Linked DNA regions of Drosophila melanogaster. The protein of the gene in region 1 interacts with the protein of each later gene in a pairwise test. Each region holds a gene or a part of one and is shown on either strand. Other genes may lie near its edges. The genes, in order: SMC1 and CG3078.

Region 1 (11,325 bases):
CAATCGGTTGTCGAAGTCCTCGCCACCCAGATGTGTGTCTCCCGCAGTCGAGCGCACCTCAAACAGGGATCCCTCGTCAATGGTCAAGATGGAGACGTCAAAAGTACCACCGCCCAAATCGAAAATCAGCACATTGCGCTCTCCCTTCAGATTCTTGTCCAGGCCGTAGGCCAGAGCCGCCGCTGTTGGCTCGTTGATGATGCGGAGCACATTGATGCCAGCGATGGCACCAGCATCCTTTGTTGCCTGGCGCTGGGAGTCGTTGAAGTAGGCCGGCACTGTGATGACAGCGTCCTTCACTGTAGTGCCCAGGTAGGCTTCTGCAGTCTCCTTCATTTTGGTGAGTACCATCGAGCTAATCTCCTCGGGAGAGAAGCACTTATTCGCGCCCTTGAACTCCACGCTTATCTTTGGTTTGCCGTTGTCGTTGATCACTTTGAACGGCCAGTGCTTAATGTCCTCCTGGATCTTGGAATCGTCGAAACGACGCCCAATCAGGCGTTTGGCATCGAACACAGAGTTCTTGGGGTTCATGGCCACCTGGTTCTTGGCGGCATCTCCAATAAGGCGTTCCGAGTCGGTGAAGGCCACGTACGATGGTGTGGTACGGTTACCCTGGTCGTTGGCAATGATCTCCACTTTTCCGTACTGGAAGACTCCCACGCAGGAGTATGTGGTGCCCAAATCGATTCCAATGGCTGGCATCTTGGCTATTTCTGTTGCTTTTTAGTTTGAACTTGGGTGCGTTTTCTTGTGGATAGTTTTCAATAATTTGTATGCTTCTTTGCGTTTTGCTTTTCTATTTTTTCACTTGGTAAAGACGTTTCAGTTTTCAACTGTCACTCTGAACTGCTTTTTATTTTTCGTTTGCTGAAGTGTTTTCACTTTGGCTGTTTGATTTCAAATGTAGCGTCTGGGAAATTTGCGCCCGTATTTATACTCAGTCGCCGGGAGGGGAAAATTCGAGATTTCCCTGCGAGAAAGGGTCAGAACATTCCAGTCAGTTCGTGTGTGTGCGAGCGAGTCAACTAGTGTGCACTTCGCAGGGGAAATTGTCAGTTGAAAGGACTGAAAGTTCAGGAAATTTCGAGAAATATATTTTTTTTATTGACATAGGTCATCATTCCAAGTGGTCATTAAACTAAATTCGTATGCAAGCTATTTTTGGCTGATTTGCGGATTGATACGTTAAGCCATTCATATTTTTAGATTCTGTTTTTGGTTTATATCTCTTTTATTATATGTGCAATACATATGTGTGTATTTTTCTTCTGATTGGAATATTTCCTCTGCAGAATATGACATACAATTACCTTAAAAGTTGAACACACTTTTCAAAACTTAATTATTCCAATTAATTATTTCCAAAAATTTAAAGAATCGTACTGCTCTATATCCAGGATACATAAATATATAGATACATATATAGGATGTACATAGATAGGATGTATATAGAATACTTCGTAGATCGATACAATCTTTAATGTGTTTATAAATAGGGAATTTTAAGATGCAAGAGCAAATGAAAAAAATCTCAGCTTGCATTATGAATATACATATGAAAATGTATAGATAATTGTACATATTAATATATATATAGTTCTGATTTCCATGACCTTTTGAAGGGTATTATGAAAAGATCCTGAAATGAAGAACAAGCCATTGGAAAATCTACAGTGATGATTGTTTTAAACCGAAAATGCCTTCGGTTCGCATAAGCCCAAGATTATAAATTATTCATTAGTTTTAAAATGTTTTTGTTTACAAATTGTATTTTGTAAACAAAGACGACCGATAGTAATCGATAGTGGTTAATTTGAAATGAAAATTGTACTATCGCTGATGTATCCCATCGATAGTTTGTTTTCTACGCCTTGCCATCTCTAGCGTCTGATATTGATGGCGTTAGCCGGATACGGTCATACTGTCATAAGAGAAAAAAAATTATTTCGCGCTCATATTGTTATTTTTCTTGGATATTTGTTGCAATCGAGCGTGTGAATGACCGAAGAGGACGACGATGTGGCCCAAAGGGTGGCGACGGCGCCCGTCCGCAAGCCGGACGACGAGACGGCCTTCCTGGAGTACATCGAAATGGAGAACTTCAAGTCCTACCGCGGTCACATAGTTGTGGGTCCTCTGAAGCAATTCAACGCTGTTATTGGGCCCAACGGATCAGGCAAGTCAAACTTCATGGATGCCATCAGTTTCGTGATGGGCGAGAAGACCAGCAGTTTGCGAGTAAAGCGCCTGAACGACCTCATCCATGGCTCCTCCATTGGCAAGCCCGTTTCCCGCAGTTGCTACGTGACCGCCAAATTTGTGCTGAACGAGGAGCGCCACATGGACTTCCAGAGGGCGGTTATCGGCGGCTCCTCGGAATATCGTATCAATGGAGAGGTTCGTATTGACAACCAATCCTCTTATTAGCCAATTAATCATATCCCCCATTTAGAGCGTATCGAGCAGCACGTACTTGAACAAGCTGGAGAAAATTGGCATCAATGTTAAGGCCAAGAACTTTTTAGTATTCCAGGGAGCTGTTGAGAACATAGCCATGAAGACACCCAAGGAACGCACTGCTCTATTTGAGGAAATTAGCGGGTAAATTTTAATTTTTTACCTAAAATCCGGATTTTTTGACCCGTGTTCACTTTTCCAGTTCTGGCCTGCTTAAGGACGACTATAATCGACTTAAACAAGAAATGATTGTTGCCGAGGAGGAGACCCAGTTTACTTACCAAAAGAAGAAGGGCATCGCGGCGGAAAGAAAAGAAGCCAAGCACGAGAAGATGGAAGCTGATCGCTACACTCGCCTGCAAAATGAATACGTATGACTCTTTATTCTGCCAACTCTATCCAATTAGCTACATCTTTTTATTCTAATAGAATGAAAAACAAGTGGAGTATCAATTATTTAGGCTATTCCACGTGGAGAGGGACATCCGGAAGTTTACGAGCGATTTGGAAGTGAGGCAACAGGAAGTTAAAGCAGTCGAACAGCGAAAAGAAGCTGCCGATGAAATCCTGCGCGAAAAGAAGAAAGACGCCGGAAAAATCACCCGAGACCTGGCCAAAATCGATCAGGAAATCAGAGAGTTTGAAACCCAGATGAACAAACGCAGGCCCCTTTACATCAAGGCCAAAGAGAAAGTTACCCACTGCAAGAAGAAGCTCATTTCCCTACAGAAGACTCTGGAAACAGCCAGGGAGGCGGACAATGCCCATCAGTCGGACATACGGAAACTGGAGAAGCAGCTGGCTGATGTGGAGGCCCTGAAAAAACGTTTCGAGGACGAGATCGAGAACGAGTCGCAGCGCCGCGGCAAAAGCGTTAACATGGAAGAGGGCCTTGTGCAAGAGTACGATCGCCTGAAGCAGGAGGCGGAAGCCACAGCTACGCAGTACCGTTCAGAGCTGGACTCAGTAAACCGGGAGCAAAAATCCGAACAGGACACGCTTGATGGGGAGACAAATCGTCGCGCCTCCGTAGAGGAGTCCTTCAAGAAGCTCACATTACAGCGCGAGGAAGCTGTAAAGCGTCGAGACAAACTGATGGATCACATCAAATCATCACAGGCTGCCTTGGAGGAACAGAACCGGATCAAGGACGAGCTCCGGCGAGATGTTGGCACATCCAAGGAGAAGATAGCCGAAAAGCAACGCGAATTGGAGGACGTACGCGATCAACTGGGCGATGCCAAGAGCGACAAGCACGAGGATGCTCGTAGGAAAAAGAAGCAGGAGGTGGTGGAGCTCTTCAAAAAACAGGTTCCCGGAGTGTACGACCGTATGATTAACATGTGTCAGCCGACGCATAAACGCTACAATGTGGCCGTCACCAAAGTTTTGGGCAAGTTCATGGAAGCCATTATTGTGGACACCGAAAAGACGGCTAGACACTGTATTCAGGTGGGTTTCAGTTGATCAACTGGGATTTACATGTAAGCATTGACGATTTTATATGTTCTATAGATCTTGAAGGAGCAAATGCTGGAAGTGGAAACCTTCTTGCCCTTGGACTATCTGCAAGTTAAGCCTCTGAAGGAACGACTTCGTAACATCAGCGACCCGCGGAACGTGCGATTGGTTTTCGATGTACTAAAGTTTGAGCCTCAAGAGATCGAACGGGCTGTGCTCTTCGCCACAGGCAATGCTCTCGTTTGCGAGACTCCCGAGGACGCCATGAAAGTGGCTTACGAGATAGACCGATCACGTTTCGATGCTCTGGCCCTGGACGGAACATTCTACCAGAAATCGGGTCTCATATCTGGCGGTAGTCACGATCTGGCTCGCAAAGCTAAGCGATGGGACGAGAAGCACATGGCTCAGCTGAAAATGCAGAAGGAGCGCCTTCAAGAAGAGCTCAAGGAGCTGGTGAAAAAGTCACGTAAGCAGAGTGAGCTCGCCACTGTGGAGTCGCAGATCAAGGGTCTTGAAAACAGGCTTAAATATAGTATGGTCGATTTGGAGTCCTCCAAGAAGTCAATTAGTCAGTATGACAATCAGTTGCAGCAAGTCCAATCGCAGTTGGACGAATTTGGAGTGAGTTTCCCTTTCAAGTTACAAAATTAAACCTAATTTATAATCTTGTCTATCCCAATTTTGCAGCCCAAGATCCTTGAGATCGAGCGTCGTATGCAAAACCGCGAGGAGCACATCCAGGAAATCAAAGAAAACATGAACAATGTGGAGGACAAAGTATATGCCTCTTTCTGCCGTCGCTTGGGCGTGAAGAACATACGACAATACGAGGAGCGTGAGCTCGTCATGCAGCAAGAGCGAGCGCGTAAACGGGCTGAGTTCGAGCAGCAGATTGATTCCATAAACTCGCAGCTGGACTTCGAGAAACAGAAAGACACTAAAAGTAAGTATACAAAATACTATGCTTTTAAAATGCCAAACAAATGCCTGCCTTCACAGAAAACGTTGAGCGCTGGGAGCGCAGCGTGCAGGATGAGGAAGATGCCCTAGAGGGACTCAAATTGGCTGAGGCACGCTATTTAAAGGAAATCGACGAGGATAAGGAGAAAATGGAAAAATTCAAGCAGGACAAGCAGGCCAAGAAGCAAGCCGTGGATGACATGGAAGAGGACATATCTAAAGCTCGCAAGGATGTGGCAAATTTGGCCAAGGAGATCCATAACGTGGGCAGTCATTTATCTGCGGTAGAGTCTAAGATCGAGGCCAAGAAAAACGAACGTCAGAACATACTGTTGCAAGCAAAAGTAAGTTAAAGTAATTATATGATAACTATTACTCTGTCTTATAATGTATTATTCACTCTGTAGACCGATTGCATCGTGGTACCACTGTTGCGCGGCTCGCTGGACGACGCAGTGCGACAAAGCGATCCGGATGTCCCATCCACCTCTGCAGCGATGGAAAATATGTAAGTTTATTTAATCACAGCATCAAAAACAACTGAACTAAAGTACGTTATTGATTCATTTTCAGTATTGAAGTGGATTATTCATCTCTACCACGAGAGTATACCAAGCTGAAGGATGACTCCGCTTTCAAAAAGACCCACGAAATGCTTCAAAAGGACCTGCAAAGCAAGCTGGACGTCTTGGAGCGCATACAGACACCCAACATGAAAGCACTGCAGAAACTCGATGCTGTAACGGAAAAAGTGCAATCCACCAATGAGGAGTTTGAGAATGCGCGCAAGAAAGCAAAGAGGGCCAAGGCGGCATTTGAACGGGTTAAGAACGAACGCTCCTCGCGATTCGTTGCGTGTTGCCAGCACATATCGGACGCCATTGACGGCATCTACAAGAAATTGGCTCGCAACGAGGCAGCCCAGGCTTATATCGGTCCCGACAATCCTGAGGAACCATATCTGGATGGTATTAACTATAATTGTGTGGCGCCAGGCAAACGTTTCCAACCCATGAACAACTTGAGTGGTGGCGAAAAAACAATAGCAGCCTTGGCTCTGCTCTTCTCGACCCACAGGTATGCAGATATAATATTTTTCCACATTTTGAGAGTAAATATTAATATATTTTTATGCAGCTTTCATCCAGCGCCGTTCTTTGTCCTTGACGAGATTGATGCCGCCTTGGACAACACGAATATTGGCAAAGTCGCTTCGTATATAAGGGATCACACAACCAACCTGCAAACCATCGTCATTTCCCTGAAGGAAGAGTTCTATGGTCATGCTGATGCTCTTGTGGGCATTACGCCTGGGGTACGTACTCAACTGGTGTAAGTTTAGGCAAGCCTAATTTTGGTTTACTCTTGACTTCCAGGAAGGCGACTGTCTCGTATCAAATGTTTACATAATGGACTTGACAACGTTCGAGGACACGTAAAGTTCATATGTCGGATGTATATTAAGTATTAGATGTAACTTTAAAGTAAATCTCGGGATTTCCAATTAATAAAGCCAGTAAATGTGTAGACGTACAATTTTTCAAACTATTCCATTACACACTCTAGTAATTCGAAAATTATACTTACTTCAAAGAAAGATAGGAACCACTTAGATGTTTTGAAAATATGTTCTGCAACTTTAATAGTTTCCTTTATTTAGGCTTGCGTTGGTTGTACTGTACCGGAGAAAGTTAAATGTGTTTGGATGTGTGAAATTATGGTTTGATGGATGGATGCTTTTGGTATATGTAAAACAACTGGGTTTTTGCTTTTAGTTTCAATTTTTAGTTTTTCTCTTTTTTTTTTCTTCACGTAAAAAACTTTTTGTATTTCATCAAGAACAAAAACAAACAATTTGATTATTCAGTTTCGGTTTGTATCATTAATTTAAAATAATCATTGCAAACAGATAAATATTGCATCGGCTAGTTAGTGTGTCAGTTTCATTGATTCATTATTATCTTTTGTGTGTTGGCTGCCTGCCGGCTATGGCGATAATCGATAAGGCTACGATACAAGGGCACGCCTGTGGGAGATTGAGATAAGGTTTGGTAAACTAAAAAAAAAAAAAATAAAATAGTATCGATTAAGCCAGATTCGAGAGGCTTCAGGCTTCGATTTCTGTGCAATTAGTGGGACTCTGATTTTCTTTAATAGGGAATGCCTAATTTATACTTTATACATACGAACTAAAATGTTTATGGCGTTTCATATATACACACACTTGTAAATACAAAGATTTGTCTCATTAGCGCTTAAATATTAATTTGCCTTTCTGTGGATTTGATCTTCGGGTTGTCCTCGTTCTCGATGCGGCATTCATGGTTGGTGTTTTGATTCCGTTGGGTATGATGTTCTTCTATTGTGTCCAGGATGGTTCATTGTGCTTGCTGTTGGTGTAACTCTTGTCCTGTGCTGTCGATGAACTGTTGTGGCTGTTGCTGCTTTCACTACCGACTTATATTATCTGTTTGTGTAATTATTGTTTTTGTTTTTCTTTTGTTTATAGTTATTCACTGAATTTCAGCTTTTCAATGGGCCTTTATTACTGCAAAAAAAAAAGGAAGAAGAAGAATATTGGATATTTAGTTCGAAGATCTTATGAGCATGGCCACTGCTGGTTTCCCATCCCAAATCATTAATTAAAAGTTAATTCACTTCACTAATATCTTGATAATCGAGTTGGGTTTTTGTATCATGATTTTCCGTATCTTGAATTAAAGCCGTATCGATTTCGATAAAAAAGGTTTCCCAGCTTATGATTTTGACGTCTCGGCCTGCGTATGGTACAGGTGGTATTCGAATTACCAGATTAGTTAACGATAGTTATGCAAATATTCTCTAATAGCTACAAGCTTGTCTAGTTGGCAGTTAAAATATTACTTTCCGCTTACTTACATTGAAACATATTTAAGGCTATCACAGTGTATCTTATACTCCAATGCCGTTGTTAGAGGTATATTTAATATCCTGCGTAACGTATCACGGATACGTGTTGTACTGGTCATATCAGTGGCAGTCCGGTGCCATACTGATAAGCTATCCTCCTGCAGGGGGAAAGGAAATATGTAAGTTAGAAACAGTTACTTTGAGTTATATTTAATGATCCGAGGAAACCATGCCATGCCGAGGGAGGATTGAGTAAGTAAAAACACCATTTATAGCTTTTTTTTTTGTTTAATACTTTTTATTTCTCAATCAATATGTAAGGAAATCATTTCACACGTCTGACCAATTGGAAATGAAAAAATTATAATAATAATGGTAATAAGAAACACACTTGATATTAACACAAAGGCAAATCTAATTTCTTAATTTAACTTTTGTTTTTCTCATTTCGATTTTGTTTCTTTGCTGGTTTTTATTTTAAATTTGTTTTCACTTTTTTTGTTTTGCTGTTACTGTGCTCTTCACATATTACTTTCATCGGCTGCTGTTCCATGATTTTCTTTTTCTGCATTTATTAATCATACATTTCTCTATGTATAAGACTAACACTTAAGTATAATGTGGTTTTTTTTCATTACTTTTCATAATTAACTAAATTGTCTAAGAAGAGAGAAAATATATGATAATATGCAATTTGTTTTTGTTACGGATTTTTGTTGGTTTTTAATTAATTTTTTGTGTTTTTTTTTTGCTTTTGTTATTATATTATTTAAACATTTTTAACAATTATGAGTATTTGCTCAAAAACTTGACTTGAACCGCTTTTTGTAGCATTTAGCGCGGTTTGGTTTCGTGTGGTTTTGTTAGTTGAATTTTGATTTCCTTTTAAGTAGGGTTTACTGTGGTGTTCGTGTGCGCACACAAAACTAATTTGTTTTTCGCCACTAAAGTTCGTCGCTCGCCTTCTCTCTTGTTCTTAAATGGATCGTTAGTTCGTATCGACTTTGTTTATATATACGCATATATAATGTTTATAATCGGTTTACATATGTGTGTATATATAGGTGTAGCATTACTTTTGTGTGGCTGTGTCAGTGTGGTGTTTTAAACGCTTGTTAAATTGCACATTGATATTTTTAATATTTTGTAAATATTAAACTTTACTTCGTTTGGTTTCATTCTTTGCTAAATTATTTGGACTATCTTCGGTATATATGTTTGTATGTATGTATAATTTATATATATGCTAATTTGTAACTATAATTAAAATATATGTATAAATATTTAATCATGTTAGTTCTCGACTTTCTTGGTTGTTTTATCATACTTGGAAATATACTTTCATTATTGCTTCTTGAATATACATATGTGAATCCCGTTAAGTATTTACTTGTTTGCGTTCGTCCTTTATTGTTATGGTGTTTGTGTGTGTGTATGTTTGTGTCTCTGTGTGTGGTTTCTCCATCATCCTGTTTGTCTTCGCTCTCTGATCCCGAATTGGTTTTCTTTTGCTTGTTATTGCCATCAGTTTTGGTTGCCGATTTCGCTGATTGCTGTCGTCTGAGTGCTGAGTAAAAATGCTTCGATATGCCTGGAATTATTGTTGCAATTGCTGCTCCCAATGCACGACACATTCACCAAAAATAATCATCAATCTATCAATTCAACATCGCGCTGAAGCCACTGCTTTCTATCTGTCCCTTTCGCTCTTCTCATCTCAAGCCATGTGTGTGAGTGCGTCTGCTTGTGTTTCGACTATTGCTGACCTCTTCTGAAGGCTGCCTGCATGTTGGCGTTGGCAACCCTACGCAAAACAGAGTTGCACGTAACGCTCTATTCCATTCCATTCGTTCCTTTTCCACCTCCACTGTTAATTTTTTTCTTTTTTGAATTTTATTCAATTTTAAAGTACAATTGCACGAGTGATTTTTGTTGCACTCGTCACTAAGAATATATATATATTTTTTTTGTTTTTTTTTTTTGTCTGGCGGTTGTTATGGAAATTGATTTGATTTGTTACTAATTATTCATATATAGAGTTGTATATATATGCGTATGTATATATAAATAGTCCAAATTATGTTAATATTAAAATTCTAATTTTTATTAATTGAACTTTTGCGCTTAAATTTAGCAATTTATTTGTTATCTTTTTCTAAGTTTATTTTTTTCCTTTTTCGTTCACAATCAATAAAATGATAAAATGAAACAAATTATAGAAAAATATATATAATTGTCTGTATTTATTGCGGAGCCAAAACTTATAAATAAATTAGACAAGAACTAAAGCTAAACATATAAATAACAAGACAACTAAATAATAGAACCTAGAAACTTCATTATTTTTAAGTTTGTTTTAATTTTGTTAGGGTTTTGAGCTTGAGGATTGAAGAGACTCAAAATTCAATTCTTCGTATCGTTTTTTCATGTAAATTTAATTTGATTGGTGAAAAGTGGAAGAAATGCGATTCAAGTAGAAAAACTAAAATGTTTTCTTCCTTTACTCTCGAAAATCGTATTAATATTATAGGTTAATTTCGTATTTTCCATCGTTTTCTCTCATTCAATATTTTACAAACATTTCGTGTCTGAGCGGAGAGGGGTGCGTGCTTTTTTACAAGTTTAGAAACGAACACATTCACGTAGATATAGAATAACGATTAGTGTGTGGGTTGCTCCCCTCCCCAGGGGTATATAGATATATCGATCTGAAGAATGCTGGGTAATAAGAAGAACACCAAGGCCCCGGCTTGAGTAGGTTGGTTTAAGGCCCAAAATGTTAGCTAGTCGAAGCCAAGCGCTCTTTTTATGTATACATAGAGAAGATATAGCACACACATAATAAATAACTGAAAGATTTTGAATGTGGGATTCTACGCTTTGCTTTATATACGCACAACATTTACATAGAATTCGTAATTTATATATATATATAATTGGTTTTTATATAATTAGGAATATGGGGTAGGTAATCTAAGTTTGAAAAATCATTTTACATATTCATTTTTAGTAGAAAAACGCAGTTTTATTATATCGTGTTTACAGCAAATTTGTTTTGTTTTTTATCCGCTTTTCTTGCTATAATTTTTTATTATTATAATTTAAATTTAATTCGAAAAATCTACTTAGTGAAATTTGTTACGTTGGTTAACAGTTTTGTATATTTTTTTTATTTTTCTGCTTTACTTGCTTTAGGTTTCTTGTTAAAGATTGATTTATATATATAACATCACATTATAATAATTACTAATTAATAGATTTGCCCTCTGCTCTTTCGTCTCTTTGCTTTGTATTTCGTTTTTAATTTTGCAATCATAGCATTTGCAAGAAGCACACATATGAAGTTTCGTAATAAATATTAGATTTATGTTTACAACTTTCGGTTTTCCTGGGATAACCGCTGAATTTGCTCACGTCACAATTCAGCGTAGACCACAATAATAATTATAATGACTATTTACATGGAAAATTTAACGAATATAAACCGAACGATCTGATTTAGCATCTCTGGGTGTCCAAGTGTAGTTGTCTATAGGCCTATTGTTTCGCTTC
Region 2 (12,267 bases), on another chromosome or scaffold:
TCGAGCCCGCCTGAGAGCAATCTCCTGCCATCGGATCCCAGTCGCAGACAAGTTACTGTTTTGTGATGCTGCGACATCATGGTGAGCAGACGGCAGCCGCTGATGAGATCCCATACGCGCACCTGGCTGCCGCCGGCGCTGACGAAAATAGAGCCGTTCGGAAGGAACAACATGGACTCCACCGGAGCTCCGTGATCTAAGGTGCGCTGCACCGCCGTTTCCGCTCTCGTATCGTACAGTTTGATCTTGCCATCGTAGCCGCCGGAGACGAACATATGCCCTGCCTGCGGATGCATGGCGCCTGCACGAACGTAGTCGGTGTGCGTGTCCTCGTACGTTTGCACCACCTTCTCGTTTGCCACGTCCCACAGACGGACCGACTTGTCGTCTCCAAAACTGGCTAGCTGCAGCTTGTCCGCCGTAAAGAAGGTGCGGTGTACTGGTGCCGTGTGTCCCTTGAACAAACGCAAGATGTTGCGACTGGTGGTGTCGAATAGCTTGACATGGCCCTCCTCGTCGCCGGCGGCCAGGAGTCGACCATCCTGCCGGAAGGTGGCGCCGTATGCGGTCTTTTGGAATCGGGAAAGGTTCTTTACCACAAGCATGGTCACCAGGTTGTAAATCTGAACGCGCACCGAACAGGTCACAACAAAGTTGTCAGGATCGCTTGGACTGAAGTCCAAATAATCGATGGTGTTGTGCTCCTTGAGTAGTTCTGGTTTCTGTGGAATGCAGAGGGGAAACAATGATTTGGTTGCCGAGCCTCTCTGCCTAGTCCTATACAACTCACCGCCAGTCGGTCCCAGTACACCGTATCCGGCGTTTCCACCTGGGCCCGCTGTCGAAAACGCCGTGTGTTCAGTGGAAGAAAGGAGTTCTGCATCCTGTCTGTGTATTTCTACTAAATCTCTTTCGGGCGCGCACGTGTTAGATGGGAAGAGTGTGACCAGCGGAATGTAACAGTGGTGGCAAACATTTTGGTTTTTAGCCAAATCCGCGTGCACACAAATACGGAGGTGCTCATTGAATTCAATAAATTTTCTTAAATATCTTAATCATTCTGCTATCAACTGTTTATTAAACGCATATACTTAAGAAATAATTCCGTTAATACTGAAAAAATATATGAATGTAGCAAATGTACTGATAATACTGACTGTAGAAAAAAGGAAAAAAAAATTGAAAAATTCTAATGTCCCAGCTAATGCCTGCTTTCAATAGCCATTTTCCCGACAGTTGGTTCTGACGTCGCGGTTAGTAGGTTATCGTGGCAAGTGCCTCCTCTGTTGTTGTGCACACCAAACACATGTTTGCAAACAAACATATGCTCACCGTCGCCAAAAAAAGGGAACACATTTCCGAGCTTGCGGACCGATCCGCCGGAGAACCGCGCTTTGGGGTGAACCAGATTGACAGCCCCTCGCACTGGGCACTGAAATAATAATAATAATAAAGGCTAGATCTCGTGTCCAGGCCCCGGCTTAATTGAAATTTATTTGTTGTGATGCGGCCGCCTTTGGGGGTTCCATAGTCGCGTAGACAGGGTTCCAGCCTCCGCCATCTTCTCCTCTTCCTCCCCTTTCCAAATCTTAATTAACCGGAGACATTGAGCATGTTCATATTAATTGGAGGCAATCAATGTGCCTGAGACCCTCGAATCGAACGGAACGGAAGCGAGATCCCCGAGGAAGCAAAAACCACATCCCCATTGAAATTCCACGTTCGGACTATACTCAAATTCCATGGAGGAGGAACGCAACGAGAAAAAGGTGCTCTGCGAGAAGATCATCAGGGACATCAATGCGGTGTTCCTCAAGGATCAGGATCTGTGAGTCCAGCATTTAGTTCTACTATAGATCTAATCAGACTGTTAGCAATGAAAGCAAGCCTTGATGTCCGAATATATTGTTCTTTTCTCCACCAGCGCCTCCTTTGAAATTATACCCAAAGAAGCCAACTGCAACAAATCGCCGGTTGTGCATGTGGAGCACAATCTGGGCCTGGAATCGTGGTGTGCCCAGCATGTCTACGACCACGCCCACCGCACCCTCATCTCCCATCGCCGTCAAACCACGGCGCAACAGCTGCGGACGCTGCAGCAGCAGCAGCAGAGCGACTCCCTGGCCAAATACCTAAACGTGGCTCTGCTGATTAATCCCGATGTGACCACCTTTTGGCACATCCGCCGTCAGCTGGTGCAAAAGAATCGGCTGAGCATCAACAAGGAGCTGCAGTTCTCCGCACTCGTGCTCTCAATCAAACCGAAGTCCAATGAAGCATTCGCCTACCGCCGTTGGCTGTACTCATTTCAAAGTAAGTGGACGTCGGCAACTGGGGATCCCATTTCATTCCATTATTTCCAGGTGCCGATGCTATTGACTGGCCCAATGAGATCGGGATATGCGAAAGGGCCGCCGATAGATGCGCCAGCAACTATCACGCCTGGTCGCACCGCCAGTGGATCCTTCAGAACGGCCCATGCCTGCTGCAATCGGAACTGCTACGCACGGAGAAGTTTATGCGGAAGCACATCAGTGACTACAGCTGCTACCACTACCGCCAAGTGCTCCTGAGTCGTGCATATGAGCTCAGTTTTGCCCTTCCCAAGGATTCCGGAGCCAGTGGTTCGTCTACGTTGGCCAGTCTGCAGCATCTAATGACAAGCTATGGCCTGGAATGTGAAGCCAACGCTGAGGATCTGCTGGGTCTCTTGCTACCACATGTGGATCTGAGTTCCGTGAGCAAGCAAAGGCTAATATCATTTCTTTACTGCTGCAACGTTGCCGCCAACGATATGCGTCTGTGTGCCGAGCAGCGCTTGATGTACGGATCGCGGGATTGCTTCGAGCTGCATCGCCGTGCGGCACTCAAGTTCATCGTGGAGCAGTGCGTGCGCCTGCAAATGGGCTTGCCCAATGGCCAACTGTTACCAGTGGCGTCAGGCGATCTGCGTTCGCATTTGGGCAACTTTGACTTTGAAGATAATCCGTTTTTAAGTGCCGTACGGCGCGAGGAGTCCACCCTGGGTGGTAAGCACCGGCGGTGGTGCAATCTTCACCTCAGCTTTGGATATCCAGCGGACTAGACAGCGCGACCTGATAAAGCTCAAATCAATCTACCCCAATAGAATTACTCACTCCCGGCCTTTCCGTTTGCCCATCCGTTCTGAAATGTGGCAAGTGTATAAAGACGTGTGTTTTATTTCCTATCTAATTATCGTCCCAAAAATACAGAAACTTGTGCAAGACAAATTGTTAAAGAGTAAAATACTAGAAAGGAAGACGATTCAAAACGGATTTGGAAACGGAAATGCCTCTATTCTACTCTACTATAAATGTGCGATCCAAAGACAAAGTTCAACTAGCCCGATATGACAACGGATCTCACTGGTCCGCCAATTGCATTTCGATATCTATTAGCGTTACCTGTTCGTTTCTGTTCTTAATCTGATCCGGGCACGATTTGTTAGCCCTTTGTTCAGAAGTAAAACTTAACCGATTATCGCCATGCCATGCACGTGTTTGTTGTTAGCCAATTGCAGTTAGTTTTTAAATAAATCCAAATCATAGACGACGCCTTTTTTATGCAGTTTTGAACGTCGAGCCAGTTCGGCTCGTTCATTTCGAGAATATCGATTCGGTAATGGCCGTAATGAGCACTCAAAATGCATTGTATGGGGGTTTCTTTTGCGCAGAGCAGTTGTAATATGGGATGGTATCGTTTTGTGGCGGTGCAGCCACAGCCATGACATCCCATCCCTTCCCCGAGTGAACTGGGGATTGTGGGGTAACGAGTATCGATTGCGCATGCCTGGGATGCGAGGTGGGATGTGCGAGATGCTGCCGAAGGCCTGAGATGACAACAATTTCAGCAGCGGACTCAGAATCGCCAGGCCGTAATCCCTACCAGCTTTTCAGTGTGTTTCTGGAGCAGTTCGCGTGCGGCGGTGTTTTGTGGAGTGTTGAGTGGCGAAAGTGCTGGCTTCTTTGAAGGCTTACAAACAATTTGTTTCCGACTCGTCGAAAAAAAGTGCATTCCAGTCAACCGAGAAATCAAAAGTAATAAACAAAGTATATTATTCGATTTTTTTTTTTAGTTTGCTGAACGGGGTTCCGTTTGTGGATACATGTGTACAGGCCAAGAGGATTTCAAGGGAGCATTGCATCGAGAGTGTGTGTGCGCTTTTCTGTGCCCGTCTTTGTTTGGTTTTAAAATATTCATATTCGTTTTCCATCCGCCCTCTTTGCATTTTTTATAACTCCCACCCACTTTTCCTGGCCCAAGGGGCGTGGGCCCAAAACTACGCCTCCATCGCAGTTCACTTCATGGGTGTGTGGTGTTCGTGAGGGGTGGGGGTTAGTTTATGATGTTTATGAGTTGATTATGGGCTGCAAAGTACTGTGCCATTGTCTTCGGGACCTGTTCCCTCCGGGCATCCCCAGGATCTTGTCCTGCACCATCCCGTCGTGTCCTGGAAATATACCTCGGAATACCTGACCCTGGGGCACCATCGGCTGCACATGTGTAGATAACACAAAATGGACACACCTGATGATTTTGTGCCAGTGTGGGGGGTGGGGTGTGTGTGCGAAGTTCCTACGGCCAAGGGAGCTATACTCGCGGCTGCACTAATAGCAGCGGCTAATAGGCACATTATTGAGTTGCCAAGTAATCCTACTAGTGGAAACTCAATCTAATTGGTGAGCATTAAGGTGCCACTTCCTTAGGACTTCAATCAGATTAGGATTAGCTAGCCTAGAAGCTTATTATTCCCACCATCCTATTTTTGCGACCGCGAGTGCCAGTGAATGTGCCAGAATGTAGTGAGTAAGTAACGGTAACGGCAACGGAAAGAACATGTGCGCATACGTAGGGCCTATGGCCCACATAAGTATGCAGTGCACGTACGGCCAGGTGTATGTGTGTGTGTGTGCGAGTAACGGTTTCCAGGTGCAGGTGTCAACTCGATAAGCAGCCGATAGATGGCGCTGCCGTTCAGGCCTCGCAACTTTTTCATTTCCTGTTTCCACTTCACAGTCATTCCGCTGCAGGAGAACAATATTTGCGTTTTGACACAGCCTTATACGCGGAATTGGGGGCGTGGCAGGTCGGCGGCGGACAATGAACCCGCCTACGCAGCAAGGACAATAATTGCAGACTGGATTGGAATGGGATGCCCGTGGAGCAGCAGCATGAGTTCGCCGTTTTGGAGCGATGGCAGTACTGGATTCGCAGTGGCCCCACAATCCACATAACTCGCACTACGGGCGCTAGGTTTTGATAAGTTGGCAATAATCGCCGGAAATGGGCAGTCTGCCGAATCTTCACGAGCTGGAGGAGGCGGAGCGCAAGCGGGAGAAGCGACGGGAGTACGAACTTCTGCTGGAGCAGCGGGCTCGGGACACCAGTCGCGAGCGGGAGCGTCTCTCCGCGTTTGCTCAGCAGCGCAAGGTGAGATCGCCTGAGTAGATCCCCCCTCCTTACGACTTATGTATTTTTCTACTCCACTCAGCAATCGTCGTATAATGCTTACATAATGGCTGGTCTGGGGATTGGTGGCGGATCCTTGAGCCTCAATGCCACCTCAGGAACTGCAACAGGCAACGGAGAGCTGCTCGGTGGCAATGGGACAACTGGCGGAAAGGGTCCGAACCAGGCAGTGGGCCCAGCTTCTGGATTGGCCACCAGCTCGGGAGCTCCGGTGGCCACCAGTGGCTTTGCGATGCTGGGACTGGGCAAGAAGTATGCCCCACACTCACACCACCATCAGCATCAGCACCAGCATCAGCACCAGCACCAGCACCATCAGCACCGCCATTCGCTGACCACCAGGCACAGAGTGCTTCGAACCCGCAGTTCAGGAGGAGCCCAGAACGTCTGGGAAGAGCAGATGATGGAGGTGAGTTCTCAGGTGAACACATAAAAAGTCCGCCTCTGTGTGAAAAGCCTTTATATAATTCATGTCACTTGCTTTCCGGCATGGTGACACCTGTCGCATATAAATAGAATCTGGGAGCTTATCTCCCTTTTTTCCTGGACACTCAACTATCATGTGGCGATGTGTGCACAAAAGGGGTGCCCTGTGGTCATTGGTGTGTCGTGAAAGGTGAGTGTTCGGACACGGACTCTCTTTCCAAGTTGAACTACAACTACTTCCCTACTCCGACTACTCCCCCTTTGCTATTGTTAAAGTGAAAGGTAGCTGGCTGTAATACCATTAGCCTGCCAGATGATTGGATTCTTGCTATATCCTAATACCCTTTTCTTGCATCTTTTCCAGCAGCACTTCACCACATACTCGCCGTCACCCATTTCGACGAGGTCGCATCGCATAAATCCGGTGTCCTCGTACCAGGTGCAGGCTGCTCTGGCGGCCTCTCGTCGTCGGGAGTCCATAAACAGCTCCATTGGAGCCACCTCCATACGGCGATTGATAACGCTGAACAACAGGAATTGCCGGCACAAGGTGCCAGCCCATGTGCGCCAAAAAGTGTGGCGCCAGTTTAGCTGTTTAAGCTTGGCCCACGGACTGATGAACTGCGTTCTGCTGCCGGTGATGGCGCTCCAGGGCTCCAATGCGGTGTGGCACCATCGGGAGGAATGGTTGCCCCTCGGTCCGGAGGTTGGATCCCTTCTGCTGAGTGCTCTCTTCCTGGTCGCCGCTGGTATGAGCCTGCCCAGCATTCGACTGATGAAACGATATGGTTATGGGCCACTAATTGTGGCAAACTATATGACAGTGCTCCTATTTCTTCTGTCGCACCTGTACGCCTCCATTTACACCCTTCTACCCGCCTATTTGCTGCTTGGCATGACCTTAAGCGGATCCGCTGGCTCCAAAGCCGCGTTGATTGTCCACTTTGGAGGGAAGTTGAGCTGCTCCTGCGATTCCCAGCAGTCGCAGGCGGCGGTCGATGTCTTGCACGAGGAGCACAAGATGTTTTGCAATCGGGATCAGAAGGTGAGGCGTCTGGCCAGGTGGTTCAGGGTTTCCCAGGACCTGGGTCTCATAGGAGGAGCCCTTCTGGCATCCATTTTGCTGGCCTGCAGCGATGGAAACTTTACGGGCGATTGCTCCGGATTGGTTTACTATGGAAACGAGAGCTGGCCACCACAACTGAGGGATTTCTACAATAGGAACGAGCACGGCGACAGGATCTGTGGGGCAGACATGTGTCCACTCAGAGTGCAGTCAATCCTGGAGGCGGGATGGGCCAATGGGAGCTCCATACCCAGTTCCATCTATGCTGGCTTCATCGAAAGTGAGCCTCGAGTGGCCGGGCAATCCTTGCTCTGGCTGTACGTTCTGTTCTCCATGGTATCATTGACCCTTTCGCTGCTGATAGTGGTGGACAAGGTGCAGGCCATAGGCTCATCGCGACCGGAGCGTTCGAGAGATGTAAGCATCACGGACACCCTGCTGTTTGCCGGACCCCTGGCCTATTTTGTGGGCACGGAACAGGCGTATATGATGGGTGACTTCTTGAGGGCCTTCGTCACCTGTTCGCTGGGCATCGGAATGATTGCCGGCGCGTTGATTGGCATGGGTCTGATGCAGCTCATCGTCTCCTGTACCTTGAGCATGCTGCTAAGGCACGTCAAGAGGATCGTCGTGATTTGTGAGTACCACCAGATGGACACAGGGTACTCGAAGTTACAACGCTCTTCTCTTTGCAGTGGCTGGTTTCTTCTTCCACTCCTGTCTACTGCTGGCGCTGTCCAGTTGGAAGCCCTCGAGTGACGACAGCGCCCTGTTCTACGTGATTGCCGCCTCGTGGGGTGCCTGTAATGGGATGTGGGAGACGCTCCTGCTCTCGCTGGTCACCCTCAACCATTCCAGTCATGTAACGGAGGTCCAGGCGCCTCTTCTTGCCCTTCGCTTCCTGGGACTGGGATTGACCTTTGCCGGTCACGGCTTCCTCTGCGAATCGATGAAGATCATTGCATTGGTGGTGCTCCTCGTCATCAGTGTGCCGCCATATGCCACTCTGGAAATCCGATTGGAGGCGCAACGCAAGGCGACGCTCGTCAGCTTATGACGCAGCATCTTCAGCTAGTCCCGACGAATGCGACGGGATGTCGTGGCCCGGACGCACACCATGTGACATGTTTCGGATACGGATACGGACGGAGAACTGGATCCGGATCCGGGTCGGCGGCCAGATCTGCTCGAATCGCAGCCCGTCAGTATGGAACGACAGACACAAGTCAAGCGACGCAAGCTACACTTCAAGCTCTGTGGACAGAAGTTGGTCGATTCGGAGAGGGATACAGTTTGAAGGATGTTTTAACTGGGGGCAAAGCCGGCTATTGACCTCTGTCCACGAGCCTAGAGGATAAGACTAGTTAATAGGTTTGATCTACACTCATGGGGGGTTCCCTTCTCAGTGGGTGCATTCTCAATTTATAGCATTTGCCAGTGCCAGTAATGTTGTTCCATGTCTATAACCTATCTATCAAATAGAGAAATAGAGAGAAAGGGAGTAAGCAAGAGAGAGAGAGAGAGAGAGAGAGAGAGAGAGAGAGAGAGAGTGAGCGAGCGAGCGAGCGAGCGAGCAAGAGAGGAAGAACATGAGAAGAGGAGAGAAGAGCTTTATGAGCCACAATAAGCATCTAGCATGTAGAACGTTATATATGTACCAGTATATCCGATCTGAGATGATAAATGGATACGATATCAATTGCCGTATCTGTATACATTTATGTATTTCGCCAAAGGCTCCTCCAAAAAAAGGTTTTTGTGTGTATTTCCTAATGTAAACTCCAAGGCATAGGTGTATTTAATTGGAACTCCAGTTTGCAGTTTATAAGCCGAAGAGAGATCTTATCCGATCCGCTCCAGAGTTAAAGCATGTTATGTATGTATGTGTTGTCGGTGTTATGTGCGTTATATAGGTTTCGAGACCCTCCACTTTTGCCTACCCCCATAGATGCATCCCGATTCAGATCCAGAACCAGATCCAGATCCAGAACCAGATTCAGATAAAACTAGCTGCAAACTGTTATGATAACAAGGTGAAATCCTAAGGTCTAAGGTCTAAAAGCAACAATGTTAACATTTTAAAAATTTTGAGAGTAACCATTTTGCGACCCTTGACGATTTCATACATCGGGCTAAGTATTACGAGTATGTTGCTAGCCATATACTACGAGTATATATACATATACATGTACACATAGACATAGGCATAGACATACTATATATTTTTTCTTAGCGCTGGTTCCATCTGAATACTGAACAAAGCTGGTCGCAAACGAATTAAACCGGTGGGACAGGAAGCCAAGTACGATAAGATCGAGTTCTACGTGTATTGGATGTGTGTTGTATATTGTAGGTGTCCATCTCCAGATCCAATAAAGATTTCAAAACAAGTCTATTAGTGAGTGTATTGCTGATTCGGCTTGCTCTCCAATGGAGCAATTAAAACCGCCCTCGTCTTTGCTTAATTGCAAACAACTGGACTCATCTGTGCGGCTGCTAGTGGAGCTTTGCATTGGAGCTTTCACTCGCCGATCCGATCGCGAAAAGCTAAAGATCGCGTCCGAATAGTGGTCACACACTCGTATCATTTCCAGCGGATGTGTGTGTGCGATCGGGCTAGTTAGCTTTATCAATTGGGGGTACTTAGCTAAGTTACTTGCTTAGTTAGTGGCTTTCTGCGGCCCCTGAGAGACGCATTGGGCTACAACAATGGATAAAGATACAGGGGATAAGGACTCCGCCCCCGAGACCAGCGCTTCGCCAGCAACTGGATGGAGCGACAAGCTGACGGATCTGGTCGCCTGGTTCGAGGCCAATCCCAATCTGCCCGAGAAGATCGGTAAGTGAGTCACTGGAATCGATTTCAAATGCGTTTCGCTCCGATTGATAACCAGTCAAGTGGCAGACGGAATTAATGGGCGCGCAATAACCTGTTGTGGTAACAATCCATAAACCTTGTAACAGAGCAGTGCCAAAGGTCAAGTGCATTAGGCACCTCCAGTGATAGCAAGGCACTTCCTCCTTGCTGAAGTTGGACTGACATGCACTTAGCTAGTGCCATATGCACACAGATACATTGGACATTGATTGAGAATTGAGAATTCTATCTTCATATAGTTGCAATGTATCTTTTGTTGTGAGTGCAGTAGCATCTAGCTTATCAAAATTTCCAATTCTTCCCGATAGAACCAATAGTTATGCTACGATTCCTCAAGTGCACGGCTTTTGATGTGGAACGCACCAAGGCCCTGGCGGAGCTAAATTATTGTATGCGCAATAAGAGCCCACATCTGTTCATGGATCGCAACATGGAGGACGAGATGACCGCCGAGGGCCTGAGGGTTTCGTAAGTGCAGCAAAAGATTCAATGAGCGAGTATTAACATTTGCCCTTCACAGGGACCTTTTGATATTACCCGGAGTCACTCCCCAGGGAAATAAGCTCATCTTCTTCCGCATGGCCGATCTGGATCCACGAACGGTGTGTCTCGACTCGGATGTCCGTTTCCCCTGTTGACTCATTGATCCACAATTGTGCTATTCCCACAGCGGAATTCTGTCGAGGAGACCAAAATCTTTGTCATGATGAGTGATGCACGATTCACAAAGCCGGATGTAGAGCGAGAAACAGGAAGCGGAGCTGATTACGTACTAGACGAAGCGGACATTGCCGAGGGCGATGTTCAGATTGTGGACATTGGGGGCTACACCCTACGCCACCTGGCCTACGTGTCCATATTCGTGCTGCGTGTTTACATGAAGTTCCTGCAGGAAGCCTATCCCTCGCGACTCCAGGCCATGCATGTCATCAACTGCCCCACTTACCTGGACAAGCTCATATCCATGATGTCGCCCTTCCTAAGGGAGGAAGTCCGCAACATGGTAGAACCTGAAAAGTACTTCATTCTAAGCACTAGCTAACCAAATCGTCTTGCAGATCCGGTACCACACAGAGGGTATGGATAGCCTTTACAAAGAAGTGCCCAGGGACATGTTGCCGAACGAGTACGGCGGCAAGGCGGGCACTGTAGCGGAACTCAAGGCGAAAGGCATTCAGTCCATCAGGGACAACGCGTGAGTATTACCTTTAGATGGGGATGTCCATCTTAGCCACCCATTCTGTACTTCATAGGGCTTATCTCAGCGACGAGCGGTACTGGAAGGTGGCCGCTCAGAGCAAGAGTCGGTGGTCCTGGTTCTGATATCCTGATCATCGAACGTGATATAAACATAAATGTGATCAAGCATCGCGTCTTGCCAAGCGAAGATATCGATTAGTTGGGAAAGTCCCAGAAACACTTACAGGTTCTAGAGCTCAGTGAAGCTGGCCCTCCATTAAGAATTCTTATTTTCATATTTTATTATTTTCTTACCAATTTCTCTATTATCAAATAAGGGGCTATTGTCGATTGATTGACAGCAATGGGAACAATATACTTGACAAAACAATAAATTATATTAATTACATTTTATGAGGTTTTATTACACCCAAAAGCCAGGTGGCTTTCAATGTTCTTCTATGATTACAAAAAACAAACGCTTCTTAGAAAAATTGCCCATCCCGCGAATTATCAATTAAAGTGAAAATTGTGTCACTACTTGCGATGGCATTGGGATGCGGCACACGACCAGGTGATTAGGCAGATCCAGAAGCTGGAACGGAACATATTTAGGCACTATTAAGCGTCGTCCAAACGATGGCCGAAAAGCCATTAAAAAATTACGTGGCTTTAATTGCCAACGCAGTAGCATTGAATATTCAAAAACTAAATCGATGAGCGAAATCGATGCGCAACTGTCAGTCAGTCGGCTGCCAGGCGTCAAGCCCAAAGGTTTAAAAGTGATTCGAAAGCGTTTTTGAAAGTGATTCGAAAGCGATTGCTGCGTCCGATAGCCGATAGCAGACCAACCTGGCGGAGGGAACAGCGACGGAGCAATCGATACCCAGGCCACAGCACCAATGAGCCGCATAGGTGTGAGAGAGACTGGGGCGAGCGGTACGTCCGAGCAGCTGCAGCGGGAACAGGATAGCGACACATCGGAACAGGCGGTGCGGAAGCAGGAACGGGATCTCAAGGAGCTCCTCGAGTGGTTCCGGCAAAATGACAAGCTGCCCAAGGAGATTGGTAAGCGATGAGCCCGAAAACCGTGCGGGAATCCAACATCCGTTCACTGCCCATCAGTCCCATTCCACCTCCCACCACCCACCGTCCATTAATTAGGTCGTTAGTAGGCCGCTCCGCTCGCCGCCTTACGTCACTGTAGTCAATTGTATACAAACAGTGA

The links.
Region 2: the proteins of SMC1 (region 1) and CG3078 interact in a two-hybrid assay, tested with the Drosophila melanogaster proteins (one large-scale study listed by BioGRID).

What each region holds. Positions count from the first base shown.
Region 1 is NT_033777.3:24,056,400-24,067,724, forward strand, and holds SMC1 (structural maintenance of chromosomes 1), read left to right. Parts: upstream 1-1,887; 5' UTR 1,888-2,001; coding exon 2,002-2,400; intron 2,401-2,455; coding exon 2,456-2,604; intron 2,605-2,662; coding exon 2,663-2,831; intron 2,832-2,889; coding exon 2,890-3,912; intron 3,913-3,975; coding exon 3,976-4,545; intron 4,546-4,611; coding exon 4,612-4,867; intron 4,868-4,923; coding exon 4,924-5,228; intron 5,229-5,291; coding exon 5,292-5,392; intron 5,393-5,457; coding exon 5,458-5,961; intron 5,962-6,021; coding exon 6,022-6,199; intron 6,200-6,260; coding exon 6,261-6,323; 3' UTR 6,324-6,416; downstream 6,417-11,325. Other genes in the region: Hsp68 (heat shock protein 68), read right to left, coding at 1-705.
Region 2 is NC_004354.4:2,251,512-2,263,778, reverse strand, and holds CG3078 (uncharacterized protein), read left to right. Parts: upstream 1-3,915; 5' UTR 3,916-4,058; intron 4,059-5,037; 5' UTR 5,038-5,304; coding exon 5,305-5,451; intron 5,452-5,512; coding exon 5,513-5,899; intron 5,900-6,280; coding exon 6,281-7,619; intron 7,620-7,677; coding exon 7,678-8,039; coding exon of another isoform or gene 8,040-8,105; 3' UTR 8,106-9,376; downstream 9,377-12,267. Other genes in the region: CG3071 (uncharacterized protein), read right to left, coding at 1-722, 791-883; temp (tempura), read left to right, coding at 1,743-1,828, 1,925-2,313, 2,364-3,085; CG3091 (uncharacterized protein), read left to right, coding at 9,692-9,821, 10,169-10,328, 10,381-10,462, 10,531-10,863, 10,919-11,055, 11,114-11,183; CG3191 (uncharacterized protein), read left to right, coding at 11,942-12,107.